Canis lupus familiaris: one gene and its partner. The main gene of each other region encodes a partner of the protein of the gene in region 2 in a complex. Links are inferred from orthologs where the notes say so. Each region holds a gene or a part of one and is shown on either strand. Other genes may lie near its edges.

The links.
Region 1: the proteins of FLT1 (region 2) and VEGFB are in contact, whole or in part, in a crystal structure (PDB 2XAC), measured with the Homo sapiens proteins. The link is inferred for Canis lupus familiaris from reciprocal best matches to the Homo sapiens genes FLT1 and VEGFB. Residues at the interface, in NP_002010.2 of Homo sapiens: Tyr139, Glu141, Pro143, Phe172, Pro173, Tyr199, Ile202, Gly203, Leu204, Asn219, Leu221, Arg224, Thr226; in NP_003368.1 of Homo sapiens: Ser37, Trp38, Ile39, Tyr42, Thr43, Thr46, Cys47, Gln48, Pro83, Asp84, Asp85, Gly86, Leu87, Cys124, Arg125, Pro126.

What each region holds. Positions count from the first base shown.
Region 1 is NC_049239.1:53,327,675-53,335,593, reverse strand, and holds VEGFB (vascular endothelial growth factor B), read left to right. Parts: upstream 1-3,575; 5' UTR 3,576-3,632; coding exon 3,633-3,692; intron 3,693-4,235; coding exon 4,236-4,278; intron 4,279-4,579; coding exon 4,580-4,776; intron 4,777-4,968; coding exon 4,969-5,042; intron 5,043-5,235; coding exon 5,236-5,271; intron 5,272-5,492; coding exon 5,493-5,706; coding exon of another isoform or gene 5,707-5,728; intron 5,729-6,334; coding exon of another isoform or gene 6,335-6,356; 3' UTR 6,357-6,772; downstream 6,773-7,919. Other genes in the region: DNAJC4 (dnaJ homolog subfamily C member 4), read left to right, coding at 1-72, 993-1,086, 1,568-1,752, 1,842-2,003, 2,727-2,813, 2,897-2,999. UniProt on the Homo sapiens protein: Growth factor for endothelial cells. VEGF-B167 binds heparin and neuropilin-1 whereas the binding to neuropilin-1 of VEGF-B186 is regulated by proteolysis.
Region 2 is NC_049246.1:11,438,219-11,445,598, reverse strand, and holds part of FLT1 (vascular endothelial growth factor receptor 1), read right to left. Parts: intron 4,373-7,380; coding exon 4,259-4,372; intron 3,475-4,258; coding exon 3,386-3,474; intron 1-3,385. UniProt on the Homo sapiens protein: Tyrosine-protein kinase that acts as a cell-surface receptor for VEGFA, VEGFB and PGF, and plays an essential role in the development of embryonic vasculature, the regulation of angiogenesis, cell survival, cell migration, macrophage function, chemotaxis, and cancer cell invasion.

The DNA.
Region 1 (7,919 bases), on a different chromosome or scaffold from region 2:
GTCCCTGTGCCTGTGCCGGTTCTGGCCCCGCAGCCCTTCCACCCGGCTCTTCTCGGCGGCCACCAGGCAGCGGTGAGTCGGAGGCCGGGGAACCCCCGGGGAAACCCCCCCCCCTCCCCGGCAGTCAGTGGGTTTTCGTTGAGGAAGGCCTGCCCAGCTCCAGGCCTGGACCTAGGTACTAAGATAGTTGTGATCTCTCTACTCTGTGTCAGGTGCCTTACAGGCTTATTTCAGGTAACCCTCACTTTGACTATAGAGGACACAAGATCAAAGATGAAGAGACGACCCTCAAGGTCATACAGCCAGTTAAGAGGCAAAAGTGGAATTTGAGCCCAAGCCAAACTCAGTGCTCTTTTCACGACTGTCGTGGTCGTGGTCGTCGAACATCAGCATCACTGCAGAACTCACTGGAGGTGTAGGGGCGGAGGTGGCTTACAAAAATGCAAATTCCTAGGCCTTGTTCTGGAGATTCTGATCTGCAGGAATGAAGTGGGTTTTGGGAATCTGTGTGTGTGTGTGTTAAGATTTTATTTATCTATTCATGAGAGACACACAGAGAGGCAGAGACCTAGGCAGAAGGAGATGCAGGCTCCATGCAGGAGCCCGATGTGGGACTTGTTCCCAGATCCCAGGATCACATCTGAGCCAAAGGCAGACACTCAACTGCTAAGCCACCCAGGCGTCCCAGGAATGTTTTTAAACAAGCTTCCTGGGTGTTTCTGTTTAAAGGGGTCTGAGGGCTACACATGGAAATGTTCTGATCTGCCCATACTTGAAATACTCAAAAGGGGAGGGATGATTTGGAGATGGATCTCCCTTGGCACCAGCCTCAGCTTCCTCACCTCCTGGTTTCTTTTTCTCTCTCTCTCTCTTTTTTTATCTTCCTCCCAGTTTCTGAGTTGAGGACTGTGGCCCAGAGGTGCTGGGAGGGGGAGGGGAGGAAGAGCCTCTGTGTTTCCACAGCCCTTGCAGTTTCTGGCCTATTTCCACAGGTCTGGCCCCAGGAACTACTATGAACTGTTAGGGGTGCATCCTGGTGCCAGCACTGAAGAAGTTAAACGAGCTTTCTTCTCCAAGTCCAAAGAGGTACCAGTGGTCCTAGGCGGGGAGGAGGGAGGATAAGGCTGAGCAGATAGGGTACACTTCAGATTGCCAGGAGTGGAGCCGAGGGGCTCACTCTGGATGGTGCCACATTCCCTTAGCATGTATAGAGAATGGCAGGTGCCCCAAGAGCAGTGGTCTGGCCAGCTGGGAGGAAAGGCTGGGGACGGGAGCCAGGGGTTCTATGTGATGGGCTGGGCTTGGTTCTGATCTGCCTGCTCTTGAGAAAGCCAGGGCATATAGTGAGAGCCAGGCAGCAGGTGGGAAGGCCTTGAACAAGGGGAAGGGGAGGAGTCTGTGCTCCCTGACTCTGGCCTTCTAGAGGGGTGGGCAGCCCTAAGAGTGAGAGTTCCTCTCCAGGCAGGGCCTCCAGAGATGATTTGAACCTTTGTGGGTGGACATTATTGGGATGGGTTCTGTGATGGGGCATGGAAAAAGAGCTGAAGAGAGTCCTGCCCCACCCCAGCTGCACCCTGATCGGGACCCTGGGAACCCAGCCCTGCACAGCCGCTTTGTGGAGCTGAGTGAAGCATACCAAGTGCTCAGCCATGAGCACAGCCGCCGCAGCTATGATCACCAGCTCAGCTCCACAACTCCTCCAAAGTCTCCAGGAACCACAGTCCATCCCAGGGCTGCTCATCAAGCGCACAGGTGCAGTAGTCCTGCCCCTGGCTTGCCCCATTCCCCAAGTCTCCTGGGGCACCTCATTCCCATACTTCCTTTCTTCTCCCTCTCAGCAGCTCCTGGGCACCCCCCAATGCACAATACTGGGCCCAGTTTCATGGTGTGAGGCCTCAGGGACCAGAGTCAAGGCAGCAGCAGCACAGACACAACCAGCGGGTGCTGGGATACTGCCTCCTGATCATGTTGGCAGGCATGGGCCTGCACTATGTTGCCTTCAGGTACATCCCTGCCTTCCGCCTGGGGTGATGGGCAGAGGGTGGAGGGTGGGTGGAGCCCAGTGTGGTCAGCCATACATCCACACCACCCCTGCAGCTTGCGCTTTTGTGTCTCTCAAGCTAAGAATTGCATGAAGTAGCTCCTGAACCTCTCCTTACTTGGCAAAGACATCTCTACACTAACTAAGGGCTAATGTCATTTTCAGGGTTTTTTTTTTTTTTTTTTTTTTTGTCATTTGAATGTAAATCTTTGGTGCTGCTGATAGGATGTGCTGGAGCCACCAAGATCCTGCACAAGGAAATATGTTGTAACTGGGCCTCACCGGCAACTACCCTCAGTTGTTTGGCAATCGGCTGTCTCCCCGCCATCCTTTTATGCATGCCATGAATACCAGGGTTCTACCACAAAGATATCTAAAGGCTGGTGCCCACTGCTAGCAGCCTGCCTAGCTCCGTGATGCATTAGATGTATACCCTTTCTAGTCTCCTGCGAGGAACATTCTGATGTTCAGAGCTGCTATCACCACCTTCAACAAGACAGAGACCTGGGTCACCCATGGACCCTGGATAAGCCCCTGCCCTTCCATGCCCCTCTGCCCACCTAGCACAGGCAGTTAGGCAGAGGTCCTCACAGATGTAAAGCTGTGAGACCCTAGAGTTGCCAGGATGGTGGGGGTTGGATTTGGGGGACAGCAGGGATTGGGGTTAATTGTAACCCCCTTGCAGGAAGCTGGAGCAGATGCACCGGAGCTTCATGGATGAAAAGGATCGGATAATCACAGCCATCTACAATGACACACGGGCCCGGGCCAGGTCTGTCCCTGCTCTCCCTTCACTGTCCTGGCACCACCCTCTGGGATCCTCTGCCCTGACCACCCGGGTGCTCTCTCCTGCAGGGCCAACAGAGCCAAGCTCCAGGAGCAACTGCAGAGGCAGCGGCTGCAGCCACCACCTGGAGGCCCAGGGATCGTGTCTCCGGGCACAGGCACCCGCCCGTGAGCAGCTCGCTGGGATGGGGCCTTGCTACCCCATGGGACTTCCCACTCCCCAAAACGCGTGCAATAAAGTGATTCTCAGAGCTCGTGTCCGGCTCCTTGCTTCACGCCCTGCGGCCCCCGTCCCGGGCCTCACCGGGGAACGGCACCCCGCCCTCGCCGTCCCGGCGGCAGCGACCCGGGAGCCCGGCCCCCTGGGCGGTGCGTCCCCTTTCCCCTGCTGCGGCGGGAGGGGGGTGTGTGGAGGGGGCGGGCCCCGGCGGCGGCCTCGCCCCCCCTCCCCCGCCCCGCCCCTGCCCCGCGGCCCGGTGGGGAGCGCGTGTCTGGGTCACATGAGCCGCCCGCCCGCCAGCCCGGGCCCGGCCCCCCGCCGCCCCCGCCGTCCCCGCCGTCCCCGCCGCCGTCGCCTGCCGCCACCGGCCGCCTTCCCGCCCGGCTCCTCCGGCCGCCGCCGCTGCGCTGCGCTGCGCTGCCTGCGCTCAGGGCTCGGGAGGGGGCCGCGGAGGAGCCGCCCCCCGCCCCCGGCCCCCGCCCGCCGCGCCCGGGCCCGCGCCATGGGGCTCTGGCTGCCGCCGCCCCCCGCGCCCCCGGGCTAGGGCGATGCGGGCGCCCCCGGCGCGCGGCCCCCGCGGGCACCATGGGCCCCCTGCTCCGCAGCCTGCTGCTCGCCGCGCTCCTGCAGCTGGCCCCCGCCCAGGTACGTGCGTCCCCGACATCCCGCCGGGCCGCCCGCCTTGCCCTCTCTCAAGGTTGGCGGAAGTGGGGAGATGCGGCGCGGCCTCTGCCGCGGGGACCCGCGGGGTCGGGCTGCGGGCCGGGGCGTGGCGAGGATCCGGCCGGGGCATCCCCCGGGAGGAGTCCCTCCCCGCCGGCCCGCCAGCCCAGCCCTGGGCCACTCCCCTGCCCCACCCCGTCCCCTGGGCTCGGACGGGGGTGGGGTGGGGGGGTGGAGCCGCCCGGTGCCCGCAGGACTTGGCTCGGCGCCCACTGTGCCCCGGGGGCCCCCAGGCTTGGAGACTGGACGTTGCTGCGCCGCCACCACCACCACCGTGGCCAGGGCAGGTCTCAGGTGGCCAGGAGAGGCCAGGTAAAGCTAGAGTGACCCCAGGAGCAGAGCAATCTGGAAAAATGCCATAGAGGAGTTGAAGCCCTTTGATGGCCAGGGCAGAGCCCTGGGGACAGCGACAGGGCTAGCCCTTCCTTGAGTGCACCTTGGGTCCAGGTCCCTTCTCTCCTACAGGGCCCTGTGTCCCAGCCTGATGCCCTCAGCCACCAGAAGAAAGGTAATAGTAACAATAACCACCCTAACCAGCCCTGAGGAGGTTAGCCTGTCTAATGAGTGACTATTCACTCTCCAAGATGCAAACTCTTATTCTGCCCATTTCACAGAAGAGGAAGTTGAGGCAGTGGGGTTCCTGGGTTCCTGGCCAGGGGAAGGCAGCTTGTGAGGGCAGAAAGGGCCAGTGAAGGGTGGCTGTGACACAGGAATTAGGGAGAACAGCTGTGGGGTACAGGGGACAGGGCAACTGGGGAGCAGCTGCAGTAAACCCAGCGAGGACTTAACCCTTATGCATCTACCCCCAGTGGTGTCATGGATAGATGTATATGCCCGTGCCACCTGCCAGCCACGGGAGGTGGTAGTGCCTCTGACTGTGGAGCTCATGGGCACGGTGGCCAAGCAACTGGTGCCCAGCTGCGTGACAGTGCAACGCTGCGGTGGCTGCTGCCCTGACGATGGCCTGGAGTGTGTGCCCACTGGGCAGCACCAAGTCCGAATGCAGGTACTAGGACAGAGGGAGTGTGCCCAGCTGGGGTGGATGCCAGTGCTCTGGGGTGGTGGGGGTGGGGGAGTGGGGGCAATGGCCAGAACCTTGGCTGGTGGGCAAGCTGTTCTCCCTCCAGCCTGTGGAGCATTCCTTTTCTCTCTCTCTCATTGTCTCTTACACTGTCTCTTCTCCGTCTCTGGAATACAGATCCTCATGATTCGTTACCCAAGCAGTCAGCTGGGCGAGATGTCCCTGGAAGAACACAGCCAGTGTGAATGCAGGTGCCAGCCAGGCCCCACTTCTGAGCTCACAGAGACCAGGCTCGGGGGGTGCCGGGCATAGTGGTACACCACGGTGGGGACCAGATCTCCAAGACTCGAACTTGGGGTAGGCCTGGGATCTGGGCTAAGAGAGTAGGATGCTCGGCTTTTCTGATCCTCTTCCTCGTTTCTGTCCCTCCCTCTTACTTTTCAGACCAAAAAAGAGAGAGAGTGCTCTGAAGCCAGACAGGTGAGTCTCTTGGGCTCTTACTGAGATGGGGTTGGAACCCAGGCCCAGCAGCCAGGATGTAACCTGTGGACGGGGCAGGGGGGTGCAGTCCCAACCCCTTTCTCCTCCCACCGAGTCTACCTCTCTTTTCCTCTGCTCCCCGAGTCTGTGTGCTCTGACCCAACCCCAGCTCCTGGGAAGGCTTTTCTTTCCCACCCCAGACATGTTGCTTCTCCTCCTAGGGCTTCCACTCCCCACCACCGCCCCCAGCCCCGCTCCATTCCGGGCTGGGACTCTGCCCCCGGAGCACCCTCCCCAGCTGACATCACCCATCCCACTCCAGCCCCAGGCCCCTCTGCCCACGCTGCACCCAGCGCCGCCAGCGCCCTGACCCCAGGACCTGCCGCTGCCGCTGCCAACGCCGCAGCTTCCTCCGTTGCCAAGGGCGGGGCCTAGAGCTCAACCCAGACACCTGCAGGTGAGGAGCTGAGGGCAGCATTTGCTGGGGAAGGCATCAGGGCCTCTGGAGCGGGTCCAGAGATGAGCCTGCCAGGGAAGGGGAAGCTGCTGAATGTGTTGAACAAATATTTGCCAAGCTTCCACTGGCACTGGGATCAGTGTAAACAAAGTTAACATTCTCATGTGAGTCAGACACGAGATATGCGATGCCAGCAGAGGAGGTCAAGGGCTGAGGTCAGGGGCACCCGAAATGGTCTCCAAGAGGTCACAGATGCTCTGATGGGAACATCTGCCTGTGGTAAAGATGAGAGCCATGGCTCTCCAATTTTGGAAGCTCTGGGCCTTCCTAAAAGCCCCTGTAGGAGACATTTGTCCCACCTTGTGGGCTCTGTGAGAGGCCAGGGGACACAGTGGAATCCTTGTCCACCTTCTCTGAGGTGCTTCTCACCACTCCTCCCTTCCACAGTGAGGCCCCGAAGTGGCGTTATGTGGGCCAGGCCAGCTGGCGCTCGCCAGGTGCGTTAGGAGAGAATGGGGGTTCATAGAAGGTAACAAAGGGGTGAATTGCCAGGAGTAGGGGCTGAACTATGCCTGCATGAACAGATCTCTTCCTTCCCTTCCTCAGGTGCCGGAAGCTGCGAAGGTGACACGTTGCTTTTCAGACTCAGCAGGGCCACTAGCCTCACAAGCCACCCCCACAGAGGGGGTACTGGGGGCAACATGTTGAGAATAGCCTAGTCCCAAGACCTCGGCATGGGCAGAAGCTGCTCCAGGACCTGGGCCTCTCGGAGGACTTTCTAGCTGTCCCGGTCTCTCCAAGGCTGCCAACTGACAGGGTGGGCAGCTGGCTGGGAACATGTGTAGGTGGCACCAGGGGTCGCAGACTAACTCTGAAAAGAAGGGGTACCGTCTCAGTGTTCAACCACCATGTGCAAGTGAGATCTTACAGCTGGCTCCTCTGTCCCCTCACTAAGACACTGATCCTCTGCAAATACTGGGAATTGGGCTTCAGTGTGAGAACTGTGACCCCCAACCCTGATAAAGAGAGATGGAAGGAGCTGTCCCTGCCTGTGTCACTGTTTGTCACTGTCCAGGCTGGGTGATCCAGGCATTCTGCATCACACTGCCTCCCAGACTTAGAGCCGGTTTTACTCCCTCATTGTGCAGATGGAGGAAATGAGGCCCAAGGTCCCCCAGCAGGTCACAAGACTGAGCCAGAGTTGTGTATTCTTCATGGTCCTGCTGTCACATCTAGGCCCTTGGGGGCGGGGGGGGGGGGGGTGCTCTGCCCCTTGCCATCACAAAGGCTCCTTTCTGGAAGGAGATGGCCTGCTCTGGCCAGTGAGCTCAAGGTGGGATCCGGATCTGCTGAATCATCTTGGTTGTCACTGGCCCCTCTCTGAGCTTCACCTTCCACATGGGCACATGGAGGGAACGGATGATTGCTATGGCCCCGGCCTTGGGACTTCAGGAAAGTCCGAGTATGTCTTCACTTGATAGAAAAACCCCTCTTCTCTGCCGGGCAGCACTCTGCATGTAAGCTACTTCATATAGCTTAACTCTAAAGCCACACACCTGCCCTGTCCCCACATCCCTGGAAGGGAAGTACAAAAGGGCTGTGGCTGGTGGGCTTGCCTTGGGAGATAGGCCTCCTCACCTCCAACCACACGTTTTTCTCCACCTTTCTCGGCCCCTTTGCCTTGGGCTCCCCTCAGCAGCTCCTGCTTGGGACTGTCCTGACTTTTGTCTGACCCAGCCGAAGCCGAGCGCCTGCAGCTTCCAGTGTCCCTGGGGTGGAGCTGTGAGGGGCCGACCAAAGGCCAACCTCGGCTACCAGCGGTTGGCCTTGCTGAGACAGGACATTCAGGGTTACAGGTTGGCCCGGAGTGGCTACCCTAATGGAAGCCTTCTCTGAGGTGTGAGATTGGAGGGCATGGCCGGGATCTTGCTGGACCCAAGGCAGGAGTGGGGTTAGACCAGAAGACAATTCCTGATAGTGGTCACTGCTTCTCAAACCACTATTCTCAGCTATGCCGTCACTGGAAATGCTGTAGCGCGACCAAAGTGAGACAGATGAGGGCTGGGGACTCTAGAGCTGCCACTTCCCCTGCCCACTTGGTGCTGGACAAGCACAGCGCTCCATATGCGCCCCTTGCTTAGTCCTCAATTCTCCGGTCAGCGCTGCTGATTATCTTCCTTTCCCAGGCCCA
Region 2 (7,380 bases):
CAGAGGAGGCAAGCAGTAAAAAGCCCCATGCAAGTAGTAAATGGCAAAGCTTGAACTCAGGCTTGGCCAACTCCAGTCCATGCCCTTAACCACTTTTTCCATACCACACACCATCTTGTGAAAGATAATCCGAATAGTAGAAACAAATCCCTAGTGGACTTGGGGCTTCACATGGCATAATCCCTCTGAGTAATGAGAGAAGGTTATACTTATCAATTTCTCTGGTTTCTCTGGGGAAGAAGGGAACACGGACATTTCTTTGTCTCCCCTCCATTCAAAACAAAGACACTGTTTGATCCTAAAAAGGGTAGAAAAGACCTTTTATCCTGGACTGGGCATCCAAGCCTTGGTGTGTAATCTGGCTCTTCCATTAACTATGTAAGATCGGGCAAATGACCTTTTTTGGGTCTCACTTTCCTCACTGGAAAAGCTCCATCTTATTATGTTTGGACTCCTAGGAAAGGAGGTGTTGGTTCTGGGTGTTCATGTGGAACCGGAAAGATTTTTATCATCTTTGGCAATTTACCTAATAACTGTTGACACTACAAACTTGGCACTCCCGGTGGCTTCGTGACTATGTACTGGTGGAGCATACACCTCGCTCAGTAATGCTAGCTGGCACTACTGAGGAAGGGGCTCAGAGGGACTAGGGCTCAGTGGTGTCCCTTTCTGCACCTGCACAGAGCAGAGGTGCTAGGATTCATTCTTGCTTGGCTTTTTCTAGAAATGTCACGAAGTAGGAGAGATCCCTCCACTAGAGGGCGCGTTGGGAGTAAGCAGAAGACAGAGGAGGGACAGCCAGCAAACTCAGCGTGGGGGGCGGGGGGAGGGGGTTCCAGGCTCCTGCCTCCTGACAAGAAACCTGCAGAAGCCCTGCTGAGGGAGGATGGGGGAGGGGGGGGCAGGCCTCAGTATAGATCCCTGCTGCCACCGCAGGTGACTTACCCGAAAATAAATAAACTATAATTCTTTGTTGCTGTGTCTCCCAGAGGCAGTTAAGGTTGGTTCTGCTGGGGCGGGGGGTGGGGGTTACTGGAATTGGATTTTTCACTAGGCCCCTTCTCAGGACACAACGAAGCAGGGAAATGGCACTGGCAGGGGTGTAGGGAGAAGAGTGCTCAATAGGTCCGCTCATGGGTCAGCCCATGACAATGCTCTCCACTCTCTGGGCAGCCTTTCTTTTTATTTATTTATTTATTTTTGTAAATTTTTAAATACTTTATTTAAATTCAATTTGCTAATATATAGTATAACACCTAGTGCTCATCTCGTCATGTGATGAGCAGCCTTCGTATTCATCTTCCCAGTGGTCACAGCCCGGATACGGCTGTCTGCAGGGACCAGAACTCAGGCTCCCTCACCCACTCCTTGACTCCCAATCTATTCTATATTCAGCTTTGCTTATTGGTAAGCACCACTGTTTATATTAAAGGTTGGATGTACGGAACTTTCGGGACTCTAGCAGTACGCGGTGAATTTATTACAAATAGTATTTAAAGAGCCTGGTGCATTTATTTGGAAAATGAAATATCCCATTTCTATTTAGACTCTTGGTTTTTCCTTCACTTTCTCTTTATATTCCTTTAGGTTCCAAATATGAAATACAGCCATGTGTTTTCCATGAAAACACGGAGCTCCACCAACAGGGAGGCGAATCATTAAATATAGCCAGGGGAGGAAGCAGAGCCTTCTAAACAAAGGACGCACGAACCCAAACGTTCCATCCTGCCCAGGTCCCTGGGGTAGGCTGCTGCCTTAGTTCTTCTTGAAGCAGTCCAGGATTTCAGGACTGAAGGGACTTTGCACCGCTCTCCACCCAAGCCACCACTTTCCCCCTTTTCTTGTGGTGTCTCCCTCTCTGCCGTCCCCACCCCACCTTCCTTATCCAGTCTCGTGTACAGGAAGGCTTTGCAAGGGTTGTCAAGAGACCTGGGCTCTTTTCCCCCAGACTTCACCTCTAAAAGTGTAAGTGTAAGTCAATCACTTGACTTTGCTGGGCACATCTATAATGTAAGAGAGTGAACTAGCTGATCACAAAGGTCCTTTCCAGATCAATTTTAAAAAATCTCTATCTCCCAACATGGGGCTTGAACTCAGGACCCCAAGATTGAGTCATATGCTCTACCAACTGAGCCAAGTGAGGTGCCCCTTCAGCTTCAAGATTTTAACTACTGGAGGGCATGGTTTATAATTGGAGACAATATGTTCTTGCCTATATGTTTCTAAGTCTGATAGACCACCTGTGTCTTTGGTTGGGTCAAAGTTGGAGGGATGAGAGAATTGGCCAGCTGTCCAGTGGTTCTTATTTGTTTGTCCCGTGAATACTGCTGTCCATGTGACAGTTGGGCAGAATTCTTGGATGTGCAGCACTTTGTCCATCATATAGGTCGTATAGATTGGTGGCATTAAGTTGGACTCTCCCAATCTTTCTATCTCAGTAACAATAACGACAGTTAACATTTATAGAGTACTTAATTCAATGAAGAACGTGATTCTCTCAACAATGCCATGAGTTCGGTTCTGTTATTCCCTCCATTTAATAAAAGAGGGGCCTGAGACTGAGAGGTAGAGTAGCTTGCCCAAGGTCCCAGATTTTGAGTGAGAGAAACAGGATTTAAACCCAGGATGCCTGGTTCTGGAGTCTGTGTGTTTCATCACCACACTGTAGACTCATCACCAGCACTGCTGACTAGCAGTTAATAATGTCAAGTCATTCCTCCCTAAGCTGCTCCAGCCCAGGAAAGGATACAATACTGGTGGGATGAGTCACACTGGCAAAGTTTTATCAAACCTTCTCCTCCATTCAATAATCTCTTTTAGATTTTGTTTGCCTTCAGGACTTAAACCTACATGTTCCTTTTGTTATGTAGCTTTATTTTAGTGGGTAAGGCTGGTTCCATGTTTGTGTGCAGGGCTGACTGTGGGGGCAAGGGTCTGGGGAAAGCAGAATAAAGGGCATAGCAAGAGGAGAAAATAATTTCTCTGGCCCAACACTGCCTTTGTGTTCACTGCTAAGTCACTCAGTTGATTGAGGCATTAATTTCTCTAATAAATGGGGACAATTATATTTGCTATCATCTTTAAAGAAACAAGTAACCCCATGATTTGTGTCGGTGTCTGCGTATGTATGGAGAGAAAGAAAGAAAGAAAATGATCAAGATGCTTGAACAGGTAGTTAGGTAGATGGCTCCTAAATTTTAACCTCTAAGTTTTGCTGCATATGCTGGGATTACATATTCTCTGTGCTGCCCACAAAATGTGTGCTGTATTGGCATGGAAGGAAAAAGCAGAGATTGGGTTTTAGGCTTGGTCATTAATGAAAAAATACAGGTTTCTCTTACTTTATGCTGATGTAGCCTAAACCTCCAACCCTTAAGTTCCTTACCTTGTTGAGAAAGAATAAGTCTCGTTTGCTCTTGAGGTAGTTGGACAGATTTCCGTATTTGCAATATTCAACGATCACCATCAGAGGCCCTGCACCCCAAACAGATGACTTGTCATTTGTCAATTTTCAAGGGTAATGGGAAAGCAGGCAGCCTATGGTTGGGTCTCCAGGATGCTAGTTGGGGCCTCCCAGCTCTTACCCGCTTTCTGTATCCCCTGCTACTCTGAACAGGTAGTCTTTCCGATTACCCTCTACTACTTTTGTTGACTGTGGAAAACATTGGTGCACATAGGTCTTTTGCACCTTCCTTTCTGGCTTAGGCAGGGATCGCACATCTATACGCAAGTGCTAACCTCCCCACGAGGGAAGATAGAAAAGTATTCAGGAACATGCTGGAGCCCTCAGTCATGACCATAGCCATGTCCTGGCTGCTTGACCCAGCGGGGAAAAGCTGTGTGAAGGGAAGGGCCCTTCTGGTTGTCCTTCACATCACCTCTTCCTGGGGTTCTACCAGTAGTAACTTCTTCTTTTATGTGAAGCTTCAAGGAATGCTCAACCTTCTAACCATTACCTTAGCTCTGGCCACCCTCCTTCAAAGCCATCCGGAGAGAAAAAATGCTCTCCACATGACCCGGAGCCCATGGAAGGAGGTCTCAAAGGGATTCCTTCTATTTAGAGCCTTTCAATTAACTGTACAGGGAAGGCATTTCTAGGATGGGAGCACCTTTCCATAAATGGACAAACTGTTTCCTCTGGAACTACCGAGAGGCTGTTTTTCAGGAGGTGAGGAGGAATGGGGAGAAGGAGCTGTATGTCAGACTCTGCTCTTAGCATGTGAATGGGGAGAGGGAGCAGGCCCTCCTTCTCATTTACCTCCTTGCTTGGTACAGGCTCCTAGCAGGTTGACTACATTCAGATGGTGGCCAATGTGGGTCAAGATCTTGAGCTCAGTCATCAGAGCTTTGTATTCGCTGGCTGTGGCCCCCTCTGTGTGAGAAACAAGGAAGAGTCAGGGCGACAGGACAATGGGGCTCTTTCCGCTGGAGGAGGCATTCCTGCCCTCCATGTTTGCCAACGCTGAGCCGGTTGCTTCACCAACTTCCCCACAGTCTTCAGAAAGGCCAGGTCTCCAGACTGTTTTCATTACTCCCTCCCTCCTGAGCCAACATCCTTTTGATTACAGTAAGGCCCAGAAGCAGTGGTGGGGTTAGTCACTGGGCATTTCCTCTTGGTGGACCTGGTCTGCTCAGCAATGCGCTGACTCAGAGCTGGGCACCTCATGGAGGCGCCTTCCAAAGCTTCCGTTCTACAGAACCAGGCTCAGCAAGAACCTTCCAGACAGGGGATGTGCCCACACCTCCCCTCTTTTTCTCACTTTCCCCTCTTTGAAGACTTACAAAGAAGGAGCACCAGGGGTCTGCAAGAGTGGAATGGCCACTTCTGTAAACATCTTTGCAATGTGTTATTTTCTCCCTATAACCTTTTCCTCCCTGGAGTCTGCAGGGTTATCTCGAGTTGTAAGGATCCATAAGCATCTGACTTCAACTTCATTCACAGAGATAAACAACATCAGTGTAAGATTTAGCAGAGGCTAAAGCCTAAATTAAGTTTGTTCTGTTTGTTTTCTTTCTTTGGTGGTGGTAGTGGTGGGGTGTCCTTCTTATTGGTTAATTTATAAGGCATTTACAAAATTAATAAAGTCATATAATCTTATTGTAAAATATTCCAACAACATGATGTATACAGAGTAAAAACTGAAGGCCGCTCCAATCACTTGCCTCCTTTTCTGTGTATTTATAAACAAATATACCCACTTAAAGGTCTTTTTGTTTTGTTTACATAAATGGGATCATATATATATTATATATATCTAATAAATATATATATTTAATTTGGTTTTTTAATATGTCAGAAACTTTCTCCATTCCTGTTAGTTAATAGCATTCTTGACATTTGAACTGTCACCAGTTTGTGTGTGTATGTGTGTTTTGCCATTACAAGTAATGCTGTAGTAGATAGCCAATGTGTAATCTTCATACTCATATGCAAGTATGACTGTAGAAGAGTCTGGGAAATGGCCAGAGCATGTGCATGGTATTTCATAAGGACAAATCAGTTTTGAATTATTTTTTAAGTAATACCCAGATAAGCTCTAGAAGCTTTCCAACGGGGTTGGGATTGGCTCACAGTAGATGCTCAACAAATATTTGTTAGTAAAATAAACACCCTGAATACTCTTCTCATTTCAGACATGGGCATGAGGCCCAAAAAGGTTAAAGGTTCTGCTCAAGGGCACTTTGAAAGAGCTTCTGACTCATGGCCTATGTCTGACATTCTATCTTTTCAATTTCTCCTAGAAACAGATGGCCAACCAATTCAAGCAAGAAAGCTGAATGAAAATTGTTTTTAGGAATTTTATATAGTGGGTTATTTGGCAATCTCTTAAAAAATTAAGACTTAAAAGATGACCACACATGTTTATTTCAGTATTGCATAGAATACATTCTTTGGGCCTTTAAAAATTTTCAAGTCAGAATCTTCCCCCTCAAACTCATCAATCCCTGCATGCTTTTATGCCCCTTTGGCACAGAGGCAAAAATCAGGCTCTCTTGCTCAGATTGTTCCATTTACAGGCAGGTGTTATCTTGGATCCACAATAGATAAGCATAGGCAGGAGAGCCACCTCTCTGGGAGAAGGTGTGTGGTAGTAAGCAGGATAATGGGACCAGCTAAGGAAGCAGATGCTTCCAGGTGGAGTTTTGACTTAGCTCAAGGTTGGATATTCGATTGCCTCCATAACCTGGGCCAGGATCATGTTAGTATTTGAGGGCAATGGGCCATTTCCTAGAGGCCAGGTTTCGGCAGCCCCTCTTGTATAGCACCATGGTGGTAGGGGTGGGGAGAACAGTGCTACATTCAAACCCTTGCTGTTGCACTGGTGAGCTATGGGATGTTGCAGAAGTGATTTAACCTCTCTGAGTCATGTTTCCTCAGCCAGAAACTGGGAAAATAATGTCTACCTCACAAGGCTGAAGAGAGAAAAATAAGAAAAATGGCAACTTCATGTGATTCAACTGAACACAGTAAAGCACTTAGTCTGGTGCTTTCTCATACAGAGGACATGTGGATGCCTCTTCTCTTCAGAATCTGGGGCACAGGGTGTGGGGGGCAGGGTGCTGGAATGCAGGGATTCTCACAGAAAGGCCTGCCATCATCTGAGCAGTCCATTTCGTACAGAAGTCCTGATTCGTGGGTGTAAGACTCCTTGCCTGGCTATTTTTAAGTAGAACTGTCAGGTTCCCTGGAGAGTTTTATCAGAGATTTTGCCTGACAAGGGCAGCCGCTTGGGATAGAAAATACCATTTCATGGGGCTCTTGCAATGCTGCATCCATGCTGGAAGAAATAAAGAGCTTTGAAGTCTCCCTATGTGTATGGTACTTCCTCCTGGAGCTTTTCCTAGGGATCTGCTTGGCTGGGTACATAGCTTCCTGTGCCTCAAAATCCCCTGCAAATGTCCTGGAGATTTTGGAAAGCTAAAAAACTGCCCTTTGGGTGTCCAATCCTTTTTGGTTTTGGAATCTTAAAAATGAATTGAAATGACATGAATATTCCATCATGAATGAAGAAACAAAGTATTTTCCATACTTTAAAAGATATATGCATCTTTGAGATGTCTGATTTATGCAGTTTTCCCCTATTTTCATTTTCATCTCTCTTGGGATGGTCATAAATCACTGTGCCATGTGGTTTCACCTCCCAAGTGCTTCAGAGAGCAGTAGTGTCTTTCAATGCTAAGAGAGATATAGATATAGATATAAATATAGATATAGATATAATTTCTCAAGAGGAAATGTTCTACGGGTGGGACTTGACAGTATAAAATATTTTAGAGTTCTGCTGATCTCAAGTATTCCAGCTTCATAGTTTTACTTTGTAGTTAGTCATGTCCCAGCTAAGCCTTTGGGTTTACAATGCATAGCTAATTTTCCCATTA